2 linked regions of the Rhinolophus ferrumequinum genome follow. The protein of the gene in region 1 interacts with the protein of each later gene in a pairwise test. Links are inferred from orthologs where the notes say so. Each region holds a gene or a part of one and is shown in the gene's direction. Other genes may lie near its edges.

What was found.
Region 2: the proteins of MIPOL1 (region 1) and ENKD1 interact in binary tests that used the Homo sapiens proteins (3 or more experiments, as listed by UniProt). The two-hybrid records come from large-scale screens. The link is inferred for Rhinolophus ferrumequinum from reciprocal best matches to the Homo sapiens genes MIPOL1 and ENKD1.

What each region holds. Positions count from the first base shown.
Region 1 is NC_046289.1:85,022,447-85,029,662, forward strand, and holds the start of MIPOL1 (mirror-image polydactyly gene 1 protein), read left to right. Parts: upstream 1-4,200; 5' UTR 4,201-4,445; intron 4,446-7,216.
Region 2 is NC_046298.1:17,287,671-17,295,377, reverse strand, and holds the start of ENKD1 (enkurin domain-containing protein 1), read left to right. Parts: upstream 1-4,693; 5' UTR 4,694-4,877; coding exon 4,878-5,013; intron 5,014-5,108; coding exon 5,109-5,303; intron 5,304-5,889; coding exon 5,890-6,062; intron 6,063-7,016; coding exon 7,017-7,142; intron 7,143-7,231; coding exon 7,232-7,395; intron 7,396-7,495; coding exon 7,496-7,632; intron 7,633-7,707. Other genes in the region: C15H16orf86 (uncharacterized protein C16orf86 homolog), read right to left, coding at 2,782-3,191, 3,295-3,527, 3,877-4,106, 4,330-4,434. UniProt on the Homo sapiens protein: Microtubule-binding protein which regulates microtubule organization and stability. Promotes the stability of astral microtubules and facilitates the proper orientation of the mitotic spindle.

The sequences.
Region 1 (7,216 bases):
TGTGCCTCCCAGGGACAAATCCTTTATGCTAAAACTTATTGTTAAGAATGGAAGGAGAACTGATGTTATCACATCATTGACTCACTTCCCAAGCAGGTTGTGGGAAGGAATAGAGCCACATAGGCAGAAGCTCTCCTTAGCCAGGGGAAGGTTGGGGCCTGTGCCCACCTCTATCTACCCCGTGAGTTCTCCTGGTGGTCCCCATGTGGTTCCACCTGGCGTGGGTTGTTCCTCCCGTGAGGAATCTTACCCATCATTGGCTGACCAACCATCTTTTGGGAGCCAAACAGAGAGACATGAAGTGTAAGCACAAAGGTGAAGCAAAGTCCCTGAAAGGAACAGTCTCACAGACTCTTTGTTCTTTAGGGATAGGCATGAGGGGACAGACAGTTAGGCTGCTGCATGACAACAGAAAATGAATCATGAAAGTAAACAGATTGAGAAGAAGAAATAAAACTGTCTTTGTTCACAGACGATATGATTATCTACACAAAACTTTTTTTTAAATCAACAAAGAAAACCTATAAGTGATTATAGTAAAGTTGTTAAGACACAACTTAATATTGTTTTCCTGTATACCAGAAATGAACAATTGTAATCTGAAATTAACAATACAATATCATTTACATTAGACCAAAAAAAAAAGACAAACTTAGGTATAAATCTTAACAAAATATGAACAAGATCTATATAAGGAAAACTACAAAACTGATGAAAACACCAAAGGAAATGGAAATAAAAAGAGATATTACATGTACAGTTGATCCTTGAACAACCCAGGGGTTAGAGGTTGATTCTCCCTATACACAACTGGTTGAATCTACGAATGCAAAACCTGGGGATAAAGAGGGCCACTATATATTTATTGAAAAAAATCCATGTATAAGTAGACCCATGCATTTCAAACCCATGTTGTTCAAAGGTCAAAAGTATACGGAAAATAAGGCTCAATATTGTCAAGGTACCAGTTCTTCCCAACTTGATCTGTAGATTTAATTCAATCCCAATCAAAACCCATGCAAGATTTTCTTTGTGGTTATTGATAAACTGTTTCTAAAGTTTATATGGAGAGGAAAAAGACCCAGAAAGTTGAAAGAGAAGAACAAAGTCATAAAATTGATACTGCCCACCTTTAAGACTACTATAAAATTCTAATGATCAAGATAGTGTGGTATTGATGGGGAAAAAAAAGATAAATAGGTCAAATGAACAGAATAGAAATCCCAGAAATAGACCCACACAAATAGAACCAAGTGATCTTTGACAAAGGAGCAATGATAATTCAACAGAGAAAGGATAGTCTTTTCATCAGAGTGTGCTGGAAAAACTGGACATCCACATTAAAAATAAATCTGGGCACAGACTATATACCTTTCACAAAAATTAACTTAAAATGGCTCATAGGTCTAAATGTAAAATCCAAAGTGATTAATGTCCTAGAATATAATACGAGTGAAAGTGTAGGTGACCTTGGGTTTGGTGATGATTTTAAAAATATGTCAAAAGCACAATCCACGAAAGAAAAATTGGGAAGTTGGACCTCATTAAAATTAAAAATTTCTGCTGTTAAAGACACTATTAAGAAAATGAAAAGACGAGCCACAGACTGGCAGCCAATATTTACAAAACAAATAAAGGATATGTATCCATAATATTCAAAGAAATCTTAAAACTCAGTAATAAGAACACAAGTAACACAATTATGGGCCAAACAATAAAAAATGTACGAAAGATCTGAACATACACCTCATCGATGAAGATATAAACATGGCAAATAAGCATATGAAAAATGCTCAACATTACATCATCAGGGAATTGCACATTAAAATGATATCCCATACAATAAAAAACATAAAATCTTGTTTCTGTTTCTCTGGAGAACCCCACTACTATACATGGCATTCTCAGCTACTTGTGTGTATAATTTTTATTCATTATTTTATTTCTAGAACTGACTGAAGTGCCCACCACATTGTGGGAGGCTGATGATGTTTCTGGACTTTAGAGTATTCACCATCTGACATTCTTTTGCTCCCTATAGTGAAAGAGGTGTTTGTTTTCTTTTCCCTCTCATCCTTATCCATATTTCTGCAAAAGCCTAACTTATATGAGAGATGAGGGCATTGACAGTATCACCTCAACATCCTTGAGAACAGGAAAGAAAGCTCTAATTGGTCTCTTTCATTTCTTGTAGACTGGCAACTGTTAGCAGGATGGAAAATGAAGAAATGTATATATATGTGAGTGAAGGTGGTGGTGGAAGGGAATTAGGAAAAAATTAGCTGTTGTGGTCTGAAAGGTCAGGAAAAGAGCATTCGAGTTACCTCAGAAGACAAATACCACATGATTTTACTTATATGTGAAATCTAAAAAACTAAGCAAATGAACAAACAAAAGAGAAATAGACTCATAGATACAGAGAACAATCTGATAGTTGCCCGATAGATGGGAGGTGAGTTAGAGGGCTGGGTGAAAAAGGTGAAGGGATTAAGAAGTACAAATTGACAGTGGGGGATATAAATACCGCAAAGGGAATATAGTCGATAATATTGTAATAACTATGTATGGTACTAGATTTATCAGGGGATCACTTTGTCAATTATATAAATGTCTAACCATCATGCTGTACACCTGAAACTAATATAATATTGAAAGTCAACTGTAAGTGAAAAAAATAAATAAATAGACTACAAAAAAAGAGTTACCTCGCGTAAGTTGGAGGAAGGACTAGGGAGAAAGGGCCTAATGTTTGACTGACTCATTGAATAAAAAAGGCAGAAGGAAAAAACAGGAAAGGAAACATGGGTTTTTTGTTTACCCTGGAGACTTTCACCACCCAGGTAATGAACTTTAAAAAACTAGGATTATGTATCTCTACCCAAAGAAAAATAGTATAACCACTTTCTCTAAATTTAATCTATAAATTCATTATTTGTTTTGACTTTTCTTAATGTTGTGGTCACCATTCCCTGTTATTTCTTGTTATTCCTTAGCTAAGAAAAGCAATTTTCCCTCCTTTCTTTTACGCATAATTTGAGTTGGTCCTAAACCTTTTCAAAAATTATTCTTCGTGATTGGAGTTCCCTTTCCATCTACTCTGACAAACTATACCACTCCTCTACTTTCTTATATATTTTTATGGTACTTTGTGTCCATAAATATCTTGACTGAATTAAAGACCTTAGCTGAATTAATGAAAAAAATGCATTTCAAAACTTATTCTATAACAAACCTCTTCAAAGCAATGCCCATTCATTGAAATATAATAAAGAGTTTGTGAATTTTATGACCTATTTTTTTCCAACTATAATACATCCAATTTTTTCATGTCTTCTTTATTTACTCCTCTTTTTCACACTTAGTTCCTTTCACTAACTTTAACTACTAACTTGGGAAACAATTACCCAATACCCAAAAGAGTATCTAGCACATAGTATGTGTGCAATAAATATTTGGTATCTGAAGGAATAAAATGAAATATTTGGTGTCTTAAGGAGTTAACGTGACATTTATAAAGGCAATACTGATCTGTGGAATATGAAAACCACATTTGAATTACTAGCAGCTAATTAATTATGCCAGTCCCTTCTTGTTTCAACACGGAGGTACACGAATTGAGAACTTAATTTTTTGTTTAATTATGGAAGGTTCAACATTTTGTCTTAAAGAATCCACATATTGAACGTAAGCATCATACGTCTTTCTAATGCTTAAGTAGAAGGGTTACCTCCTCCAACTTTAGGTCTGAAACATTCCTTGGCCAGGAGCTAAGTACTGCTTTTTGCTCACCCAATTGGAGTCCAACTTCGGTCCTTTTCATTCAGTCATCACTTGGCAATTCCCCTCTCATCTCTCCCTGACATCCCATTCTCATTCTCCTTCTCTCCTCAAACCACACACAAAACAGGAAACTACAATTCTGCCAGGTCCAGTGGAGACTCGGCAGCGCTCAAGTTGAGGCCACAAGACGCGTTTTTAACCACGTGGTTTTCTTGCTCTAACCATACGAAGGTCCACACAATACTTTGCTCTCGCAGATCGCGCCCGTCGTCGGGGACCCCACAATCGTAGCACTCCGCTGGAGCCACCGCGGAAGACTAGCAAGTCTTGTGAAGACTTTCTAAAGTCGCTCCTTCGCCCAGAGACCCCGCCCCGCGGCCCTACCAGCGGGACACGCGCATGCCCGGTTCGCGCCGCCTGCCTCTGCCTCGGGCGCCGGTCCCGCCTGCGTCCCCCGTGGGCCCTCACGCGCGGCGTGCGGCTGGCTCACCACGCCGCCACGCCCCTCCCGCTTGTTTGCGGGCGCGCGCAGCTCCTGGTGCGGGGGAGCTCGGGGACGGGCCGAGCTGGCGGAGATTGGCTGACGCGGTGGCTGCGCATTGGGCCTGAGAAACTCTGGGCGAGCGGGCAGAGTCGGCTCTGGGGCGGTGTTGGGCGCCTCTCAGGTAAACGGGTAGCCTGGGAGGCTTGGGAGACCCGAGAAAGGAGGGGTGGGCTTGGACCAGCCCTGGAAATTCCGGCTGCAGCCCCCTTGGAGAAGGTGAAGGGGCCCCGCGGATCTGCGCCCAGTGAATGTTGGCCCCTGCAGCTGGGAGTGATGAGGCTCCCGGGAAGGTCAGCGTCGTGGGGTCCACAGGTCCTCTTTCTGAGTATGATTTCGGCATCTTCCTCGGTTTCCTATTACAAGAGTTCAGCAGCTGAGGGTTTATTCAGGGTATAGGTTTTTGTTTGTTTTCTCCTTAAGTGGCGGTGAGTTAGAGGGTACAGGTCCTGGTTCTACCTGATTGACTCTGTGCCCTTGAGAGTCACCTAATCGGTTTGTATTTCAGGTCTCACACTTGTAAGTTTCTGCAAAGAGTGCGATACTTCTTTAGGCACCGTGCTGTAGAAAGATACTGTTAGAATATTTTTGGTCTCTGGGCCCAAATTTCTCTAATTGGAAGATGAAACCACCCACCAATATTTGTGAAGTACTTTAAACTCCATGGATGGAAGGAACTGGATAAACACAAGATAGCGTTATTAGTCGGGATGGTAGAAAGAAAAACTTGCCACAAGAACAGGCTTTTTGAAAAGTTCCTTTGAGCATTTTATGCAGATTAAATCACAGTGGTAGTAAACAAAGGTAAGACAAAACAAAGGGCCAAACAAAACTACATTTCAAGGAGGTTTTTTTTTCCTTCCTCAGATAATTTTATAATAACATACTGTCACAAGGTGTCGGCTTTTCAGAGTTTCTCCTAGGGATCTAGTGTGGAACTAACTTAAAATGACTGTTATATATTCATTTGGGTATCCTATGCAATAGTATACCAAGAAAATTAATTAAAACAAAGCTGACTTCTATATTAGGTAACAGGAATTAAGGTATCTCATTGGGAGAGGAAATGATAGCAAATCAGAAAAGTGAACGGAGAAGTATACAATTTTACCTCAGAGGAACAGAGTTTATAGGTATCTTTTTAGTGTGTTAATTGTTAAAGGATAATAGACCTACAGAAAAGTGCATGAATGATTAAGTGTACAGCTCATTGAATTTTCACAAATTATATCTAATGCCTAGACAACAAAGAGCATTACTTGCATTCTAGAAGCCTCACTCTGTGCCTCCGTTCCAAAGGTAATCATTATCTCGATTTTTAATTTCATTTATGAATTTACCGATCAAGTTTGTATAAATGGAATCATACACTATATAGTCCTTTGTGTCTCACTTTTGCTTACTATTGTGTTTGTGACATTTATACAAGTTGTATAGCAGTAGTTTTTTGTTTTTGTTTTTTAAGGAGGGCACAGCTTCACAGTGGCCCATACAGGGATCAAACCAGCAACCTTGATGCTGCCAGCACCATGCTCTAATCAGCTGAACTAATAGGCCACCCAGTTTGTTTGTTCTTATGCTGTATAGTAGTCCATCCAGTTTTTGGCTATTAACAATAGGGCTTCTATGAACATTTTTATAATTACTTTGGTGAACATATGTATACATTTCTGTTGGAAATATATATACCTACTGATGAAATGGCTATATTACGGGATATGCAGGTATGTAGTTCTGGAATAACTACCAAAAGCTTTTCAAATTAGTTTTGTCAGTTAACACTCCTTTTAGCAGTGTTTCAGAATTCTGGCTTCTCCAAATGCTTGCAATACTTAGTATTATCTTTTTTTATTTTAGCCATTTTGGTGGTTAAATAGTAATATCACATTGGGTTTTTCGCAGATTTCCCTAATGACTAATAATATTTAGCACCTCTTCATGTATTTATTGACCATTTGGATATCCTCTATTGTAGGGGTCATCAAATTTTTCATAAAGGGCCTGATAGTAAATATAGAAGTATAGGTAGTCCTTGCTTTGTAGTCTGGGTTTCAGTTAAAGCAGTACTGTGTGAAGCTAGGACTGCCTGTATTTTAGGATTTTCAGGCCATATACAGTCTCTGTTGTATTTCCTTCCTTTCCTTCCCTCCTCCTTTCATTCTTTTTCCTTCTCTTTCTTGCTTGCTTTCTCTTTTTCTATTTCTTTCCCTGCCTACTTTTTCTTCCTTTCCTTTCTTTTTCCCTCCTTCCCTCCCTTCTTCCCTTCATTCCTTCTTCCTTTTTTGCTGGCTTGCTTGTTTGCCTGCCTGCCATCCTTCCTGCTCTCCCTCTTTCCCTCCCTCGTTTCTTGTTTCATAGTTTACTAACCGCTGCTATGTGGAAAAAAGACTTCAAAAATGACTATTCAATCTTTCCATTGGTGGTGAAATCATTAACTGAGATGGGCTATATTAGAAAAGTGTAAGTACGTAATATCAAGTAATGTATACTGTAGTGTTTTGGGGTTAAATTTCAAATTCCTACACATACTTTATTTGCTTTTTTACTAGTTTTACCTCAAAGACTAATTAGAGACTTATTTGAGACTTTGCTAAACTGTTATTGCTCCTACTTTCTCTCATGCCTTTAAAGCTGCAGAACAAAAGAGTTAAGAAGTGAGAAAAGAAAGGCGATGCAACCCTTCTTTGATACTGTGTAAAAGGCTAGGGAAGGGATGAATGTCCAGACAGTTCTGGACACTGAGTAAAAAAGTATAAATACATAAAATACTATTTGCAGTACTTTAAGGTGGATATTGTCTTTTGAGCTGTTTCATCTTTGGATGGCTTGATTGAAATTTCTATCTAGCTGATTGAGTATACTCATGATGTGGGAAGTAACAGCCAATGGTTTGGG
Region 2 (7,707 bases), on another chromosome or scaffold:
AACTGGTTCCAGGTTTGTCCTGCAGCGCCCTCTCCTGGAGGAAGACAGCATCACCTCCCAGGACCTGATTCCCAAATCTCAGGATCTTCCTTGGGTCAAAGTAAAGTTTTTCCAAGCCAGAGAAAATGTGGTTAACTTTTCCTCTGTGGTATGGCAACCAGAAGAGAACTTCCAAAATACCTGTTGCTTATTTTGGAAACCCCTTTCCAAATCGAGACCTCGTATCCAGACAATAGCAGTAGTCTCCTCACCTCCCTGTCCCCAGTCTCTCCCTTTCTCACACTGTCCTGCACACTGCTGCCCAAGCGACATCTCCAAAATGTCAGGCCAAGAGCCCTCCTTACCTACACCCCTCCCTCATCACTCCCAGATTCACCCAACCTGGTCTCCTGGTGGCCTGCTTCCGCCATGCTAAGTGGCCCTCCTGCATGGAGCTGCCATCTTCCACACTAGCAAGGCTTCGTGCCTGGCATATCCTCTGCCTGGAAGGCCACCCAGCTCTCCTTCAGGAGTCAGCTAGAGGCCTGCCTCTTCACTGCTTCCCTAGACATAGTGACAAGTCACCTCCGCCACCTGTGGTTCCACAGTCTTGCTCCTCAGGTCTTCCATGGCACATGTCTCTGCACCATGCTGCTTCGGCATTTTTCCCTTAGAGTGAGCGTCTAGGAGCAGTAGTGGTGACTTGTTCCTTTGTGTCGGGAAATGTAGCCTCGTTCTTCTATAGTTACTGAGTGTGTCCTTTGTCACCTGTGGAAGGTAAGGACAGAGCTTCCTTATCAGTGCTGGCCTGGTCCACACCTCTAGCCCTGGAGACCACACAGAGAAAGCAGATGCTCAGCCTTTTTGGGTCAGGTCTTCACCAGAGCCCCCAGATCCACAGATCTGCAGGGCTCAGGAAGGGGCGGGGCCTCCCTGGCGCCCAGGGTGTGGTCTCATACAAGGCCACTTCTCTCCAGGCCTTTGCTTCCTCAGCCATAAAAAGAGGAGGTCAAGCTCAGTAATCTTGAAGGACCCTCTATCTCTGAAAAATCCCTGAGAATCCATGCTCATCCCTGTGGACAATATTCAGTCTGCATGGTCTCTGTGGACAGTATTTCCTGGGGTGGTCAAATCACTAACCAGGGAAAAGTGTCAACAGGAAGAAGAAATATGTCCAGAACGCACAGCTTGCCCTGTGGCCTTGCCAAGGGGCTGGTGAGCATCCAAGCGACCCCTAAAGGAGGGAGCATCCCGTGCTGATGCCCGTTTTCTCTCTTCCAATGACCTTGCCAGGCCATTATTCCAGGTCCCACACATGGCTCTGGACGTTGGATGGCCTCCGCTTTTCAGATCCTGACCTATCCCTCTGTAGCTTCCTCAGGTCCCCACCTGGTCTCCTTATCTTTTTATGCTTTTTATGGGGGTCCTCTGCTAGTGGATGTGATGCAATGACACGGGCCCTTGGGGAGTTCAGTCTCATCCTGAAGACAGCTGTGACCCACAAGGACAGTAGTATGTGGCTACTTTAATGCAGGGCAACACTGGGAGTTGCCCAGCTCCGCAGGAAGCAAGGTGCCCTGAATCTTCACGGGTGCATGTGCACTAGCCAAGTGGAGGGGTGAGGGAATAAAGGCATTTTAGACAGGGAAGCCCCATGTGCAGAGACTGAAGGTAAGAAAAGGTGTGGCTGGTCAGGGAATGATAGGAAACCACTGAAAAGTTACAAGCAGCTGGGCTTAGATGAGAGTACTAGACGGGGAGCAACACCATCCGGGGTTTGGATGTGTGTGTCGTAGGTTCACCAGCCTTGATGATTGATTAGCTTGTAGGAGTCAACAAGCAAAGAACAGGATGGGGTCTGGGGTGACACCAGGATTTTGGCTTGAATGATTGCGCAGATGAGATACAGGAGGAAAAGCAGGTTGAGAGGAGGAGGAATTATTCGTTTAATTTGAAATTCTGTTTTTAAGGTGTCTGAGGGACATGCAGTAGGACGAGGAGACAGCAGGGTATTAGGGTTTCCAAATGGCCGGCACTGGCCACCTCTTCCAGAGACCCCTGAGGATGAGAAGCAGCAGTTATCTGGTGGCTTGGCCTCAGGGCTCCAGGGAGACCATTCACCACCACCACCACTCTCTGCCTGCCAGGAAATAGGCACCAGGGGCCACTCTGGGGGCAAAGTGTGGTCCAGCTGTGATCTAACAATAAGTGGAAAGCATCCCAAAGCTTCCACTCTTGGGCAGGCGAATGGACTCTGCCACCTCAGAGGGGAGAATCCCAAGTGTTGGTGCCCTGAAGGTCAGACCGAATGCAGACCCCTTCCCAGGAGACAGCAAGGCCATGCACCTGCTTCCCATGACCTGCCAGTTCCTTTCCTTTCTTTGCCCCAAGTTCCTCATCACCTCCCTCTCCATCCCCACCATTATCCTGTCCGAACTTCAGGTTCATCGGAGACTTGAAATGCACAGAACAAGTCCCTACCCCCACAGATTGATTCAGTTAGGTCTGAGGCAGTACCCAGGAATCTACATTTTTGTCGAGTTCCTAGGCAATCCAAATGACCCGTCAAGTTTCAAACCCTGCACTGGGGAATCCTCCACCCTCCTTCCCAGCCTCTCCCTCTTCAGGCACCTTATTTGGGGAGTCAAAGTCTGAGAAAAGGAAAAACATTTATTTTCAGCAAGTCCAAGGTGCCAAGTAGGGGCAGGGGCTATATTCCCCCCTCCTCCCGAGGGCTTGAGCCCATAGGCTGCTGCTCTGGTTCAGGCTTGGGAGGAAGGGAGCCACCAGGGGGTAGGACAGTCATTTGTACTGAGGAGAAAGTGGGGGTACAAGTGGGGCTGCACAGACACTTAGCATCTTGTCGATGTCCACCTGAGTTGACTTATCCACCTCAGCCTTGGGGCTGCTGCTAACCCCCAAGCTGGGCAAACCCCCAGGCTCCTCTCCAGCCTCCTCCCCCAGGGGAACCATAGCATGGATAGGGGGCACGGACATAGTGGGGCAGGGCACAGTGAGGCCTGAGCCAAGCTCACCTGCCACAGGCAGCAAGGCTGGCAGTTGCTCCACACCTGCCTCCTCGGGGACCAGGGTCAGCTCCCACTCAGGTTCCACCTCGGCTTCAGCCTCCCTGTCCCCCTCCCCTGCCTGGTTCAGCTCAGGATTGCAATAGTTGATGTACTGGTACAGAGGCCGTAGGCGCTGGACCTTTCCTGCAAGGATCCAGGGCAGAACGGGGGCTGGAGTACCAAGCTGTGCCATGTCAGGAGTCCAGCAGGCAGGGGAAAAAAGGAAGGCCCAGGGACTGCTACTCACGCTCTAGCCCCAAGGTCTCTGAGGGTGCAGATACTATGCTGGCCACAGCTGGGAGCACTGGGGCCCCCGGACTCTTGCGCTTCTTGGCTTTTTTGTGCTGTTTGGCAGTCGGTGAGGGCTCACTCCGACCACCCTCCGGGTCCTCCCTCTGTTGTGGCGGCCCCTGTGGCAGCTCAGCTTCAGCCCTAGGATGGGCTTGGTGGCTAGGCCCTGGGAGGCTGGGGGACAGGAGGCTTGAGGAGGCCGCCTCCATTCCAGCCTTGGCTCCTGAGTCCTGAGCCTGCGGAATAGCCCTGCCTCCCCACACCCTGGGCCCAGATTCGTGTTCCTTTCCTGGTCAGTGAGGCCCCAGCCTGGACCAGAGCTGAGAGCTCATGTGAGCTCAGACCCTGCAAGGCCTTGAGACTCTGAATGCTCCCTACACCAGGACTCTTGAGGGACAGAAGGAGTGAGGAGTGATGGTGGTGGCAGAGAATAAAGATGCACACACTGCAGGACTGCAGGATTTAGGAATCCTACCGGGGTGTGAGCCTCCCAACCCCCCTCAGCCCTGCAGCTTCTTCCCTCTGAAAGACCCCTCACTTGACTGGCTTCCTCTTCAGACCATGACTGGACCTCACAATGGAGGCCGTAGGCCTGGGGCTTCTCTCCTCTAGTGCCTCCACCTCTGGCTTGAGCCTCTCTTCCTCCAGCTTGAATGGTTCCTCCTGGAGCTCTGGCTCTGAGACTGGTCCTGTTGGACATTTGTCTTCACCGAGGGTCCCACTGGCCTCATGGACTGGCGCCAAGCACTGGTTTCCCATCACTGGACACTAGAGGTGACACACAGGTAACTGGTCACCATGGCCAGTCAAATGATACAGGGATCAGTCATTAAACACCCAACATTAGACACCAAACGTGAATAAAGGGCACCAGCCCATGGCCCTGCCCGCCTATGGAGCCTGTCCTGGCCGTTAGGGGGTCGACGCACAGAGTTTGGCCTCCTAGAGCGCCACGACCAAGAGTTTGAAGGCTAGACAACCTGTAGGTCACCTCAGAGCTCTGAGCACCGCCACCGGGCGCCTCCGCAAGCTGTACGGGCCCCTCAGTCGTCCCCTTTTGGGCCCCTGGGCGCCTCTCGGCCCCTGCCGAGGCCATAGCTGCGCAGAGTCAGCGCATCCTCGACGGCTGCTGATGGGAAGAGGTGGACGGGCCCCGAGGGGCCGGACAGGTTCACCCTTCGCTGACGCGGGAGACCGACCGGGAGGCGAGAGCCGGGGTGGGAAGGGCGACTGGAGACTACTCTAGCCCCTACCCTCAGCTGGAACTACAAACCCCAGGAACCTTTGCGTCGGGGTATTAGCCCCTGACCTCAGACGGAAACCATTGTTGCCTGGCAACAGCAAACTCGTCGGGTGGCAGCTGCGGGCAGTCTAAAGCTGTTCTGGTGAGCCCCCAGCCCGGGTGTTGAGAGGGAGGGGCCACGACCGGGGCAGGGAAGTGGGCTAGGAGCGGAGGCGGCTAGTTGCAGGCCGGGGACCGGGAATGGAGGCAACGCCGGGGTCAAGGTCCGGGTCCAGAGAGGAGGTCGGGGGCCCGAGATGTTTAGCCCGGCAGGCCTCGGTGCAACATTGCAGGGCGACGGCGGCGGCATGTGCGAGGGCCTGTCCCGCATCTCGGGGCCCATCCCCCCAGACCCTACGCTTTGTCCTGACTACTACCGACGGCCGGCCTCGGGTGAGTAGAGGGTGCCGCGGCTGAGCGAGGCCCGAGCGAACCTCGGATCTCTCTCCACCACTGAACGCGGCACTCTGATTTGTCCGGCCCCTCAGCCCAAGGGCGCCTTGAGGGAAACACGCCGAAGCTGGACCTGCTGACCTCGGACGCGGACCTGGACGTCACCCCGCCCCGCGGCCCCCGCATCCGTCCTGGAGCTGTAGAGATTCTGGAGCGTGGTCGGCGCGGCGTGGGGGCCATGCTGCTGCAACTTGGGGGTATCTCCCTAGGCCCAGAGGCCTCTCCCAAGAGTAAGTTCTGGGCAGAAGGGGCAGCAAGGCAAGTCGAGGTTAAAAAGAGATCAAAAGCTGCTCCTCCGGCCCTGACCACGGCTCAGGCTTTGCCTTTCTGAATGTGTTTCCCCAACTATAAAGGGAGGGGAAAATGCACTACCTCCTTACAGGAGAGGACTGAATGAGGTAGTCCCCAGGAAACCGTAGATCAGCTTTATGAATTCATTCATCAGTGAAACTTGTTGAGCGCTTGCTCTGTGCCAGGCCCAACAGGTGCTAGGAAAACAATAAGGTTTAAGACAAGCACAGGCCATCACGGAGTCCAGGTGGGAGACAATGAACAAGTGAAGGGATGATTATATATAAGATGATTAATGGTGTACCTCACAATAAAAATGTATAAAATAATCAAGGATAGAAGATAATTACCACGTCAGGAAGGAAACAAGGTGGTAAGATGGAGTATCTGTATAGGATCTAACTTAGATGGAGAAGTCAGGGAGATCTTTCTGTAGGAGGCAAGGTGTGGGCCTGTGTGTGAACTTGTATAAGTTGGGTTTCATGGGCTGTATGCAGGGCGAGTCTGGCAACATCTTTTCCCCAGGGAAGGAACCTAAAGACCATGAGAAGGAGAATCTGAGACGTATCAAGGAAATCCAGAAGCGCTTCCGCGAGCAGGAGCGCAGCCGGGAACAGGGCCAGTCCAGGCCCCTGAAGGCTCTGTGGCGCTCGCCCAAGTATGACAAAGTGGAATCCCGGGTCAAGGCCCAGCTGCAGGTACCTGCCTCAGGGAGCCAGAAGTATTGTCCATCTTGTTGGCCAAGAGGCAGTTATACCCTGATCTGAGTTATGGGGAGGGAGGAAAATCACAGGGGACTAAGGTAACAGGAGACTTAAGAGAGAACTGGTTCTGCAGCAAGGTGGCTCTGGGGATCCTCAGAAGTGGTGATGGCTGGGTGAGCCTGAGGGGCAAGTAGGAATTAGGCAAGGGGAGAATGGAAAAGAACATTCCGTAAAGATGAAACCTCACAGATAGAAGTCCTAAGACTAGAGGCAGTGTGGGCAGTGGGGGTGCTGTGTACAGTTTACTGTGAGGAGAGAAGAGCACAGAGTTAGGCTAAGAAGTCAGCTGGACCCACGTCATAAAGGGCCACATAACCCCCTTTTCAACTTTTTTTTTCGAAGGTCAGGGGCAGGGGTATGGTGGTGAGATTCTGTCTTGGGTAGATAGTGGCACCATTTCTCCATACAGAGGTCTCAGAAGGAGGAACAGGATTGAGAGTAAAGAATAAGGTCATATGTGGATGTGTTGAAGCTGAAGCATTTGTGGGACTCCCAGGGGGTGCGAGTGTGTCCAAGAACCAGATGGAGAGTCAGGTCTGGATCTCAGGAGTGAGAATCAGGAGTTATTGAGGATCAGACTAAGGATGATGAGACCAGGGAACTGACCCGGATTTGAGGGCTTGGAGGCCAGCTGTTAATGACCTTGGGGACAGAGCCAAGAAGCTTGACTAGGAAGGAGAGAAAAAGAGAATGGTAGCTGGAGCCAGGATTAAGGTAGGATGGACGGTTTGTTGTTTTCTTAAGGATGTGAGAGGTACACATGTTTATATGATAATCATGATGAGTGCTCCTTCAAAAAGGAGGAGGCCATAGCCCTAGGGATAGAGGCTCGGTCTTGAGACCTTGACCGCAGCCTGACTGATCCCTCTTCTATGCTCTGCCCTCCAGGAGCCCAGCCCTGCCTCTGGAACAGAGCCTGCCCACTTCCTGCGGGCGCACTCCCGCTGCGGCCCTGGGCTCCCACCACCCCGTGTCCCCAGTCCCCAGCTAACCCCACTAGGTCCCAATGCCAAGGTGAGAGAATGTGTGGGGGCTGGAAGGTGGGGCGGGGGTTCAGGGACACAACACAGTGCTGTCTGTCCACATGCTGCCATGTCCTGCAGGGGCAAGGCCTGGGTGTGGACTTCATTAGCCACAATGCCCGCACTGCCAAGAGGGCCCCCCGGCGGCATTCCCGCTCGCTGCAAGTCCTGACACAGGTGCTGGAGCAGCAACAGCAAGCCCAGGAGCACTACAATGCCACACAGAAGGGCCACGTGCCCCACTAGTAGGTCCCACTGCCGAACACCCAGGGTGAGGGGTGCCTGTGGCAGGTGGGAGCCAACATCTGCCCTGGAATCATCAACCCTGAGCCTGTGCATCCACAGCTTGTTGGAGCGCCGGGATCTGTGGCGGCAGGAGGCTGAGGCCCGCAAACATAGCCAGCCAGACCCTACCATGCCCCCTGGCCACACTCGCATGCCTGAGAACCAGCGGCTGGAAACACTGAGCAATCTGCTGCAGAGTGAGTATTTGAGCTGGATGGGGAACTCACTGGGGACCAGGTACCCCTGCCCAACACTAACCACCTGGGCCCACT